Linked DNA regions of Macaca fascicularis. The protein of the gene in region 1 binds, or shares a complex with, the protein of each later gene. Links are inferred from orthologs where the notes say so. Each region holds a gene or a part of one and is shown in the gene's direction. Other genes may lie near its edges.

Region 1 (3,646 bases):
CGCAGCTACTTCGGAGGCTGAGGTGGGAACATCACTTGAGCCCAGGAGATTGAGATTGCAGTAAGCCATGATTGTGCCACTGCACTCCTGGGCAACAGAGCAAGACCTTGTCTCAAAAAAGATAATTCATGGAGATAGAAATTATCAAAAAGATTAAGCTCCTCTTATATGTTAGGTATTGTATAGTAAGTCTCCCTTCCATTCTTATCCTCTGGGCCTGTTAGAGGCTGCTGCTGGTTTTTTGTTTGTTTTTTTTTTTGAGACAGAGTCTTGCTGTGTCGCCCAGGCTGGAGTGCAGTGGCACCGTCTCAGCTCACTGCAAGCTCCGCCTCCCGGGTTCTCACCATTCTCCTGCCTCAGCCTCCTGAGTAGCTGGGACTACAGGCACCCGCCTCTGCGCCCGGCTAATTTTTTGTATTTTTAGTAGAGATGGGGTTTCACCGTGGTCTCGATCTCCTGACCTTGTGATCCGCCCACCTCGGCCTCCCAAAGTGCTGGGGTTACAGGTGTGAGCCACCATGCCCGGCCTGTTTTGTTTTTTTGAGACGGTGTTTTGCTCTTGTCACCCAGGCTGGAATGCAGTGGCACAATCTTGGCTCACTGCAGCCTCCTGCCTCCCGGCTAATTTTTGTATTTTTAGTAGAGACAGGGTTTTGCCATGTTGACCAGGCTGGCCACGAACTCCTGACCTCAAGTGATCCTCCCGCCTCAGCCTCCCAAAGTGCTGGGATTATAGGTGTAAGCCACTGCACCCAGCCTGCCACTTTTAATCATTCTTGCATGTGTTCCAGGAAAACCTATGTGGATATATATGTGTGTATGTGTGTATTTTTTTAATGTGATTTTTAAAAATAGCGTTTTTTTTATTATTATTATTTTTTGCAACAGAGCCTTACTCTGTTGCCCAGGCTGAAGTGCAGTGGTGCAGTCTCTGCTCACTGCAACCTCTGCCTCCCTGGTTCAAATGATTTTCCTGCTTTAGCCTCCCAGTTAGCTGGGATTACAGGTGCCTGCCACCATGTGTGGCTTATTTTTGTATTTCTAGTAGAGGTGGGGTTTTGCCATGCTGACCAGGTTGGTCTCGCACTCCTGATCTCAGGTGATCTGCCTGCCTCGGCCTCCCAAAGTGTTGGGATTACAGGCATCAGCCACCGTGCCCAGCCAAAATAGGATCTTTATCTTCTGGAAATATGGGTAAGAATATTGATTTGTTTGCTTTTCAGTTCTGTGTTGTACTAAAAATTTAATCAATAAATGTATTCCTAAAGAGCAGAAAATTGAAATGCAGCCGGGCACGGTGGCTCACTCCTGTAAACCCAGCACTTTAGGAGGCCAAGGCAGGCGGATCGTGAAGTCAGGAGTTTGAGACCAGCCTGGCCAACATGGTGAAACCCGGTCTCCACTAAACATACAAAAATTAGCCAGGCGTGGTGGTGGGTGCCTGTAATCCCAGCTACTGTGGAGGCTGAGGCAGGAGAATTGCTTGACCCTGGGAGGCAGAGGTTGCAGTGAGCCGAGATTACACCACTGCATTCCAGCCTGAGTGACAGAGACTCCATCCTGGGAGGGGGGCGAGGTGGGAATTAAAATGCTGTTCAGATCTTATCTGCATCACTGACAGGGAAACTTTTTTCAGGGTGAAGAAGGAGAATACAGTGAAGAGGAAAACTCCAAAGTGGAGCTGAAATCAGAAGCTAATGATGCTGTTAATTCTTCAACAAAAGAAGAGAAGGGAGAAGAAAAGCCTGACACCAAAGGCACTGTGACTGGAGAGAGGCAAAGTGGGGACGGACAGGTCTGTACATTCCACAGTCCTCCATTTTAGAGGCTGGAATAGGGATTATTGAGTCTGGAAGAGTAAGGATCCCTTTATCTGTCCTCTAGGAGAGCACAGAACCTGTGGAGAACAAAGTGGGTAAAAAGGGCCCTAAGCATTTGGATGATGATGAAGATCGAAAGAATCCAGCATACATACCTCGGAAAGGGCTCTTCTTTGAGCATGATCTTCGAGGGCAAACTCAGGAGGAGGAAGTCAGGTAAAAGCCACTTGCTGCTGCCGCTGTCTAACATGTATTTTAGACATGTAGGTCAGGTACTTTGCTAAATGCTTTGCCTGTATTTCATTTATTACAGGCATTTTAAGGTAAGTATTATGATTATCCTTCTTGTACAAATGAGGAAAGTGGGCTTAGAATATTTGGTAATTCTTGGTGAGGCAGCTAAGATGCAGACCTAGGGCAGTCTGTTTCCAGAACTCATCTTCTCTTAATTATTCTACTTTTTCTTTTCTTAATCTGAGGCGTAAGGCCTCTGAGAAGTGAAGTACTTGCATAGGCTGCTTTTTAGGAGAAAGGAGATGTTTTTCAAAGGTACTGAATGGCATGAAATGAAGTCCTTTTCTCATTTCTATGTCTGTTGTATTTGAGCCCAGCAGGCTCTGAGGTTCTGTGATTCACACTTGCTTAGGGGAGGCCTGTTTTTTATAATCTCTTTGGGATGATGAGACTACGTGAAGTTCCTATTGTCCCCCTGCCTGACCCGTTTTGTTCATGAACATCTCTACTTGGAGAATTCTGCTGACCCAAGACTTTTCCTTCATTTTATCCAGACCCAAGGGGCGTCAGCGAAAGCTTTGGAAGGATGAGGGTCGCTGGGAGCATGACAAGTTCCGGGAAGATGAGCAGGCCCCAAAGTCCCGACAGGAGCTCATTGCTCTTTATGGTTATGACATTCGCTCAGCTCACAATCCTGATGACATCAAACCCCGAAGAATCCGGAAACCCCGGTGAGGCATTTTAGAACATAGACTGGGCTAGGCATGGTGGCTTACAGTGGCTTACACCTGGAATCCCAGCACTTTGGGAGGCTGAGGCAGGATGATTGCTTGAGGCCAGAAGTTCAGGACTAGTCTGGAGAACATAGTGAGACCCTGTCTCCAAAAAAAAATAGACCATAGACTATAGATACATTTTAGAAAGAACTCTCTTGCTTTGCTTTTCTTTCTCTCTCTCTCTGTCTGTCTTTCTTTCTGTCTCTCTCTTTCTCTCTCTCTTTCTTCCTCTTCTCTCCTTCCTTCTTTCTTTCTTTCTTTATTTTGAGACAAAATAAAGAGTGCAGTGGCATGTTCTCGGTTCACTGCAACCTCCACCTCCCGTTCGAGTGATTCTCCTGCTTCAGCCTCCTCAGTAGCTGGGATTACAGGCATGTACCATCACGATCAGCTAATTTTGTATTTTTAGTAGAAATGGGGTTTCACTGTATTAGCCAGGCTGGTCTCAAACTCCTGGCCTCAAGTGATCTGCCCGTCTTTCTTGATCTCCCAAAGTGCTGGGATTACAGGCCTGAGCCACCGTGCCCAGCCTCCCTTTGTTAATTTCTTAACAGTTTCTTCATTCCATTTTTTGTAGATATGGGAGTCCTCCACAAAGAGATCCAAATTGGAATGGTGAGCGGCTAAACAAGTCTCATCGCCACCAGGGTCTTGGGGGTACCCTACCACCAAGGACATTTATTAACAGAAATGCTGCAGGTACTGGCCGCATGTCTGCACCCAGGAATTATTCTCGATCTGGGGGCTTCAAGGAAGGTCGTGCTGGTTTTAGGCCTATGGAAGCTGGGGGCCAGCATGGTGGCCGGTCTGGCGAGA
Region 2 (3,646 bases), about 25 Mb from region 1:
ATATCTCATGTTAGTTTAGAAATCCACTTAGTCCGATTCATTGAGCCCCTGGGTTTTGAGAGCTTGCTATGTTGAACACTGGGTTAGGCGGGAGGACAGGTTCAAACAGCAAACCACGTCTGCCCCTGAGGAGCTCACAGTACAGGGTTTCTGTGCTGTCATTGTAGCGAGAGCTATTTTTTTGTTTTTATTTGCAGGTTTTGAAAAACCATCAGCAATCCAGCAACGAGCAATCAAGCAGATCATCAAAGGGAGAGATGTCATCGCGCAGTAAGTTGTCCTGGGGTGCGGCGCGGGGCTGGATGCAAATTTGGGCAGCGCAGTGCAGTTAGATGCTCTGGGATGACTGTTTCCCTCAGCTTCTACACACTCAGTACCAACACGTGCCCTGACTTTAGCCACAGGGTTTAATAATTTTTAAATTTCTGTTCTCTACTATAGAAAGCTTTCATTTTCTTTTTGAGATGGAGTCTCGCTCTGTCGCCCAGGCTGGAGCGCAGTGGCACCATCTCGGCTCACTGCAACCTTTGCCTCTCTGTTTCAAGCGATTCTCCTGCCTCACCCTCCCAAGTAGCTGGGATTATAGGCGCCCGCCACCATGCCTGGCTACTTTTCGTATTTTTAGTAGAGATGGGGTTTCACCATGTTGGTCAGGCCAGTCTCAAACTCCCGACCTCAGGTGATCCACCCTCCTTGGCCTCCTAAAGTGCTGGGATTACAGGCGTGAGTTACTGTGCCCGGCCAAGGCTTTCATTTTCTTAGCCAGCTTTGCTTGGTGGTTTGCTGGCAGGTGGAGTTGTATATAACACAATTTCGGAAAAACAGACTGCTTTTCCTCTGCTCTCACACCACCACCACAGTCATCAGCACAGAAGACGACTTGTGTGGGGGTTTTCCAGCTGGGTGTCCTCCAGTTCAGCTCATACCATCTGCCTGGAGACAGGCCATATCCCACAGGTTGAGGGCTCAGTCCCCTCAACTACCCTCTTTTCAGGCATCAATTATAAGTTTGGATGTCTAGAACTTCTGACCAAGCAGCTTCGAGTTGGGGTTCCCATGATCCCCTCTTTAGGTTGGATTAATTTGCTGGAACAGCAGCTCAAAGAACTCAGGGAAACACATTTAGTGGTTTATTATAAAGGGTGCTACAAAGGATACAGATATGGGGGCGGGGGTGCAGCCTCCCAGAACCTCCTTGTGTTCCACTGTCTGTGTTCAGCCATCCAGAAGCTCTTCGAACTTGGTCCTCTTGGGTTTCTATGGAAAATTCCATGAGGTCAGCATTCTTTCCCCCGCCCAGGGAATAGGGCAGGAGCTTTTCTAGGATAATACCATAATGCTTTTAAAAAAATTTTTTTTTAATTTAAATTTTTTACTTTTTTTGAGACAGGGTCTTACTCTGTCTCCCAGGCTGGAGTGCAGTTGTGTGATTACAGCTCACAGCAGCCTCAACCTCCCAGACTCAAGTGATTCTCCTACCTCGGCCTCCCAGGTAGCTGGGACTAGAGGCACACATCATCATTTACGTTTTTTATTTTCTGTAGAGACAGGGTTTCCTTGTGTTGCCCAGGCTGCTCTCAAACTCCTGGCAGTCTCCCTGCCTTGGCTTCCCAAAGCCTTGGGATTACAGGCGTGAGCCACTGTGCCCGGCCTAAACATTTTTTGTGTTAAGATATGGGGCCTCACTTTGTCACCGGGGGGAATGCAGTGGTGCGGTCATAGCTCACTGCAGCCTCTAACTCCAAGGATTAAGGAATCGTCCCACCTCAGCCTCCCAAGTAGCTGGGACTGCCTGAATGTGCTGCCATTCCTGGTTGGCTTTTTGTTTTGTTTAGAAATGGAGTCTCTTCCTGTATTGCCCAGGCTGGTCTCGAATTCCTGGCTTCAGTCAGTCCTGCCTCTGCGTCCCCGAGTGTTGGGAATACAGGCCTGAGCCACCATGCCGTGAAATGAGGGTCTTTATGACTTAAAATCTGAAAGGCAGGGAAGATTAGAGCCCCGCTGTGGAGCAGGCGAAAGGAGAGCAGGTCAGAGAGATTGTTTCCTGAGGCCTAACAAACCCATCAATTTAGTAAGACTGTAACAAGGGCTATGGGAGCTGTGAGCTAGGAACTATGAATGAAAACCTGTATGTAGTCTTATCTCCTAGCACCACAAATCCTCTTTTAATAGCTTTATTCCTCGTTTGCCTAATTTCAAAAAACTCATTTACACAAAAATTTCTTTGGAGGAGAGAGTTAGTCCAAAATCCTAGAAGGAAAAGAGTTGTATTTAGATAAAGGGGAGTCCTCCTTTTTCTGACACCTATGAAACACCTCTTGAAGTGACAGAGTCTGTGGCTCCATTGCCCCCCTTGCAGAAGCCATATCTACTCTCCTCATGGACACTTAACAAGCTGTGACACTGGGCCCGAGTCCCGCCTCCTTGCAGTTAAGATGTTATTGGGTACGGGGGCTTCTTGGAATAAGGTACATAAGTGCCTCTGGAGCCCAGGCCTTGGAGTGCAGCTGTGACATGGCCTGTCCTCCCTCTAATCCCACTGCTCTTATTTCCTTCAATAGGTCTCAGTCCGGCACAGGCAAAACAGCCACCTTCAGTATCTCAGTCCTCCAGTGTTTGGATATTCAGGTAATTTGTCATTCTTAAAACAGACTGTTCTGTAATTCTAGGAAATAACTGCTTTTTCTTCTGTAACTACAGTGTTCAAAAAGTACAATTAAAAATTTTCTAGTATGTATTGACTCAGCAAATTTTTACAGAGTCTTAATTGTACACTAATATTTGCACTAATATTCTGTCATGATTCTTTATTTAACTAGAGGAAGTTCTTGTCTGCAAACAAGGATCCTGACACATTAAGTTATTGCTGGATTTGCAATTTAAATGACATTAAGATTTGCTAACCTCTGTAAGAGATGAGAAGTATGATTAATATGAGATACTATTTCTCATATAGATCTCAGTGTGAATTACTACAATCCACCTTGATAATACTGAGAATTCTCTATTTTCTGATAAATTATTTCACCAGGTTCGTGAAACTCAAGCTTTGATCTTGGCTCCCACGAGAGAGTTAGCTGTGCAGATTCAGAAGGTGAGATGGCTAAAGATAGTGGTGTCCGATTTGCAAGTACTGCTTTTGTGATTTAGTTGTGAAACACTTGACTTATTTATTTAATCCAATCCTGTTTTCTGATACCTCAAAATTTTCTTCCTGATTAACATTTTGCCATGAATCATTATATAAATTGCTGGTTTGTATTAAGTCATTTTTGGTGTGGCTTGTGTGCTCTCAGTAGTTTTTTACAGCCTTAGGAATGTAGATTTTTCAGCAAAAAATTTTAATAAAAATAAATTAGGCCAAGGTGGGTGGATCACCTGAGGTCAGGAGTTTGAGACCAGCCTGGTCAACATGGTAAAACCCTGTCTCTACTAAAAATATAAAAAATTAGCTGGGCGTGGTGGCAGGTGCCTATAATCCCAGCTACTCGGGAGGCTGAGCAGGAGAATCACTTGAACCTGGGAGGCAGAGGTTGCAGTGAGCTGAGATTGCGCCACTGTACTCCAGCCTGGCAACAAGAGTGAAACTCCGTCTCAAAAAAATAAATTGTACCCATTTTATACTTACATAATATAAAGATGTATA
Region 3 (4,385 bases), on another chromosome or scaffold:
CTACAGGCACACGCCACCACGCCCAGCTAAGTTTTTGGTATTTATAGTAGAGACGGGGTTTCACCATGTTGGCCAGAATGGCACATATATTCTTAATTATAGCAATTGATCCATTGTGCCAATATTTGCCTTACAAGTTTGCTTTCTTTTCTAGACTACCAGTGCAAATGCCTTTTTATTTCTAGTTTCAAACTGTCACATAGGAAATGTTTGTTAAAACTAACGTTTTATAAAATTTAAAGCTTATTTTACATATCTCATTTGATCTCTCAAGAATTCTGTGAGCTTGGCAATGTAGATTGCTGTATATGCCTTAGGCTGATGAATAAACAGGCTTAGAGAGTCACTTGCCCGAGGTTAGGTAGCTGTAAGTGTTGGGATTGAATCCCAGGTCTTCTCACCACCACTTTCTACAAAAATCACTGAAGGTTGTCAACCAGCAGAGAGGATTACTCTGTGTGTTGATAACAAAAGGGTGATCAATAATATTTAAAAAGCAGACTTTGTGTAAAAGTCTTTCCCTTACCTTAAAAACTATGCCACAATGGAGCATTCTTTCATTCCTCCAATTTAATTATATCTGGCGAGAAACAGTAATGGGCTAAACCATTGTTGTATCTTAAGTCAAATTGCCAAAACTCCACAGGCTACTAAAAGTTAACCCTTACTGAATGAATTAAGAACCATAGAAGTTCTGCTGTTAAAAAACAGCACGGTGACAGTCAGGGTTTTTCAGGCGTAGGGGGTGTGTGTTTTAAGACTTTAAGCCAGTTTTGTCCCACTGAAATTACCGTCAGTGATTTTTAGTAGAAAGTGGTGGTGAGAAGACCTGGGATTCAATCCCAACACTTACAGCTACCTAACCTCGGGCTAGTGACTATCTCTAAGCCTGTTTGTTCTTCAGCCTAAGGCATATACAGCAATCTACATTGCCAAGCTCACAGAATTCTTGAGAGATCAAATGAGATCTCTTAAGTTCTTTGCTGTGATGGATTCCTTTGACTTTGTCTCTATTATTATAGGCTTATAGGTCCGGGGCAACTACCAATCGTTATTCAAAGGGGAAAGCACCCTGTTCGAAATCAAGTAAGAAAAATGGTTTATATTCCCGGTCTGCCATCTCTATTCTAAGCTTTATCTTTATTTAGCTCCCAGTTAAAGGGGGAATAGAGCCACACCCACCTCACAAACGCCCCGAGGACTGGGAGACCAGAAAAGTAAAAGCCACTTGCAAACCTAATTTAGCTCTAAGTCGATAAAAAATACTATCATATGCTCACATTTCTAATATTTGCTAATATAATGTGATCTTTATTTTGAAAATAATGTGCCTCCAATCCTAGTAAAGAGAAAGTCACGGCATGCGACTCTCCCTTCAGCACCAACTGGCCTCTCACGCGAGACTCGGCTTTCACGCTTTAGTCCAGGGCTGCAAGGCAGGCGGAAGAGAAGCGCCTGTGGTGACGCACTTATTCCGCGCGATGACGTGACTACAAGGCGCCGGGGGACACGTTGGCTGGGTTTTCGGCGGGCTTCCCGGGGACAAAAATGGCTATGGCTAGCGATTTCTACCTGCGCTACTACGTAGGGCACAAGGGCAAGTTTGGGCACGAGTTTCTGGAGTTCGAATTTCGGCCGGACGGTGAGAAGAGGCCCACGGCACGCGGTGCTGGGAAAGGGGAGCGAGACCGAGAGGCCGTGGAGGAGGCGAGGGGAGGCCGGGTGGTGTGGAGGGTACAGGGGGCGGAGGCCACTGCTTCCCTCGAAGGAAATAGGAGCTTAAGAATAGAGGAGGCCTAAGTTGGTTTTATAAATGAAAGAGAACTAATTGCAATAAATTAAAGCTAATCCTGTCGCAAACTGAAAAGTCGAACTTACAGTAATCAGAATTCTGTAACTGCACCAGAAGGGACTCTGTAGATTGTTGACCTGGATTAAAAATGCTAGCACTTTTTTGAAAACACCCCCATCAGCGGGTGGTCCAATGGATGAATAAAATCTTGTGGTGACCAGTACCTTTTCTTCATTCAGGCTGTGTGTGTTCTTTGAAGGGGAGGAGCCCGACGTGTTAACAAATGAGAATAATAATATGTTTTAGGTGTCTACGTATAATTGTTCACCACAGGACGCATGAAGAGTACCAAAAAAGAGGGGAGATGTAAAGTTCCACAGGAGGGAGTCAGGAAAATCTTCCTAGAGGAAGACACTCTTGAGATGAGTCTCGAAATGAGAGACTTGGCCTTTGAGAGAAAAAAACAGACTTCCAGAGCAGTGAGAGCAGAGGACGAGGTGAAACTGCTACCCCAGTAGCGTGCAACAATTTGTTTTCTGACAGCGCTATTAGAGAATGTTACATTGGTCCTGCCTACCTGCAACAAGAAAGTTCATTTGGATATATATGTTTTGGTTTTTTTTAAATGCACGTTTTTTGCTGGGCAACAAGCAAATACAAAATTTGAAGGTACACTAATGAGTAAGACAAATTTAACTCAAAGAGATTTGTCTTGGTGGGGACACAGACATTTAACTATAAAGCAGTAGGTATATTAATAAGCAGGCTTTGGACAATGTTCTGTGAGAGCAAGAATAAAAAATTAGAGGAGAAACGTATATTAGGAAAGGAGAAGAGTATCAAGCATTTCAGGCAGAACTCAGGTGAACTACAGTCCTGCAATTATTACTTTGAAACAGAGTCTCACTCTGTCACTCAGATCTGAGTGCAGTGGCACGATCTCAGCTCACTGCAACCTCCGCCTCCCAAGCTCAAGTGATCCCTCACCTCAGCCTCCCGAGGTGCTGGAAATACAGGCCAGTGCCACCTCGCCCATCTCCTTTGTTGTTGTTGTTGTTGTTGTTGTAGAGATGGGTTTCCGCATGTTGCCCAGGCTGTCCTCAAACCCCTAAGGTCAAGAGATTCACCAGCCTCAGCCGCCCGAAGTCCTGGGATTACACGCATGAGCCACCGTGCCAGCCCTGCAATTATTTAGAAACCTTAATCACTGTATTCGACCTTACTCTCCCCATAAATTCAGCTAAATTTACCTGAATTCATCTATTCTTTATGTAGTATTATTTTCAGTTCCTCTGCCTGTGAACACCGTCAAGCTTGTCTCTATTACTTTTAGCAGGTCACATAAATTAAGCACCTGAATATTATCAGGGAAGTTTTATGCTAGAACAGTGGTTCTAATCAATGTATCTGCCACTGCACTGTTACACATACTTCTTCTATTGGTAATATTGAGTCTCCCGAAGACCTGCCTGCCTGCCTGCCTGCCTGCCTGCCTGCCTGCCTGCCTTCCTTCCTTCCTTCCTTCCTTCCTTCCTTCCTTCCTTCCTTCCTTCCTTCCTTCCTTCCTTCCTTCCTTCCTTCCTTCCTTCCTTCCTTCCTTCCTTCCTTCCTCTCTCTCTCTCTCTCTCTCTTTCTTTCTTTCTTTCTTTCTTTCTTTCTTTCTTTCTTTCTTTCTTTCTTTCTTTCTTTCTTTCTTTCTTTCTTTCTTTCTTTCTTTCTTTCTTTTTCTTTTTCTTTTCTTTTTTTCTTTCTTTCTTTTTTTTGAGACAGAGTGTTGCTCTGTCACCCAGGCTGCAGTGCATCTCAGCTCACTGCAACCTCTGCCTCCTGGATTGAAGCGGTTCTCCTGCCTCAGCCTCCCGAGTAGCTGGGATTGGAGGCATGTGCCACCATGCCCGGCTACTTTTTCATATTTTTAGTAGAGATGGGGTTTCTCCATGTTGGCCAGACTGGTCTCGAACTGCTAACCTCAGGTAGTCCACCTGTCTCGGCCTCCCGAAGTGCTGGGATTACAGGCGTGAGCCACTACGCCTGGCGCCAAGCCATCAAAGACTGGCATTTCTATCATTTTAGAGTAACTGCTGCACCTTATAGCTGTGTCTGGGCAACTGACTAGCCATAAGGGGAAGCATACATCAGATAATACACAAATCATGATGGATTAAAATTAAATATAAACTAGCTAACAAACTCATCAACTTCGATCCAGAAGCATCGTTTGTATCCTTCTTAGTCATAATTCTAAAATGTCTACAGTATAATTGTATGCATACATTTGAAGGAAAAAAAGGAACATTTTTTTGTAGTGGAGAAAGCCTGAGTATTAAAAGAAAGTAGATCTAGGTCTGAATCTCCCATGTTTAAGTTACTTAACTTTGTTTTCTCTCTTATGAATAGGTGAGAGAATAAAACCTGATTTTTAGGATTGTTTTACAGATTAGATTAAATTCTCTGTGTAACGCACTTAACACCAATACATACATATAACAAACTTGAATGTTAGTGCCTTTTGCAGATTCTCTTTCTAGTTCATGATGTAGCTTAAGAAAATAGGCTGTAAAAATGACCCTATATCTATATGTTGTAGGCATAG

The links.
Region 2: the proteins of CASC3 (region 1) and EIF4A3 are in contact, whole or in part, in a crystal structure (PDB 2J0U), measured with the Homo sapiens proteins. The link is inferred for Macaca fascicularis from reciprocal best matches to the Homo sapiens genes CASC3 and EIF4A3. Residues at the interface, in NP_031385.2 of Homo sapiens: Arg217, Trp218, Glu219, His220, Asp221, Lys222, Phe223, Glu225; in NP_055555.1 of Homo sapiens: Thr178, Arg179, Lys198, Ile201, Tyr202, Tyr205, Arg206, Tyr207, Leu208, Pro209, Pro210, Thr212, Lys231, Phe232.
Region 3: CASC3 (region 1) and MAGOHB share a complex: the UniProt entries of both Homo sapiens proteins name them as parts of the mRNA splicing-dependent exon junction complex. The link is inferred for Macaca fascicularis from reciprocal best matches to the Homo sapiens genes CASC3 and MAGOHB.

Annotation. Positions count from the first base shown.
Region 1 is NC_088390.1:61,239,375-61,243,020, forward strand, and holds part of CASC3 (protein CASC3), read left to right. Parts: intron 1-1,636; coding exon 1,637-1,795; intron 1,796-1,884; coding exon 1,885-2,036; intron 2,037-2,608; coding exon 2,609-2,785; intron 2,786-3,407; coding exon 3,408-3,646. UniProt on the Homo sapiens protein: Required for pre-mRNA splicing as component of the spliceosome. Core component of the splicing-dependent multiprotein exon junction complex (EJC) deposited at splice junctions on mRNAs.
Region 2 is NC_088390.1:86,549,966-86,553,611, reverse strand, and holds part of EIF4A3 (eukaryotic initiation factor 4A-III), read left to right. Parts: intron 1-197; coding exon 198-270; intron 271-2,561; coding exon 2,562-2,628; intron 2,629-3,031; coding exon 3,032-3,094; intron 3,095-3,646. UniProt on the Homo sapiens protein: ATP-dependent RNA helicase. Involved in pre-mRNA splicing as component of the spliceosome. Core component of the splicing-dependent multiprotein exon junction complex (EJC) deposited at splice junctions on mRNAs.
Region 3 is NC_088385.1:10,340,258-10,344,642, forward strand, and holds the start of MAGOHB (protein mago nashi homolog 2), read left to right. Parts: upstream 1-1,486; 5' UTR 1,487-1,548; coding exon 1,549-1,642; intron 1,643-4,385. UniProt on the Homo sapiens protein: Required for pre-mRNA splicing as component of the spliceosome. Plays a redundant role with MAGOH in the exon junction complex and in the nonsense-mediated decay (NMD) pathway.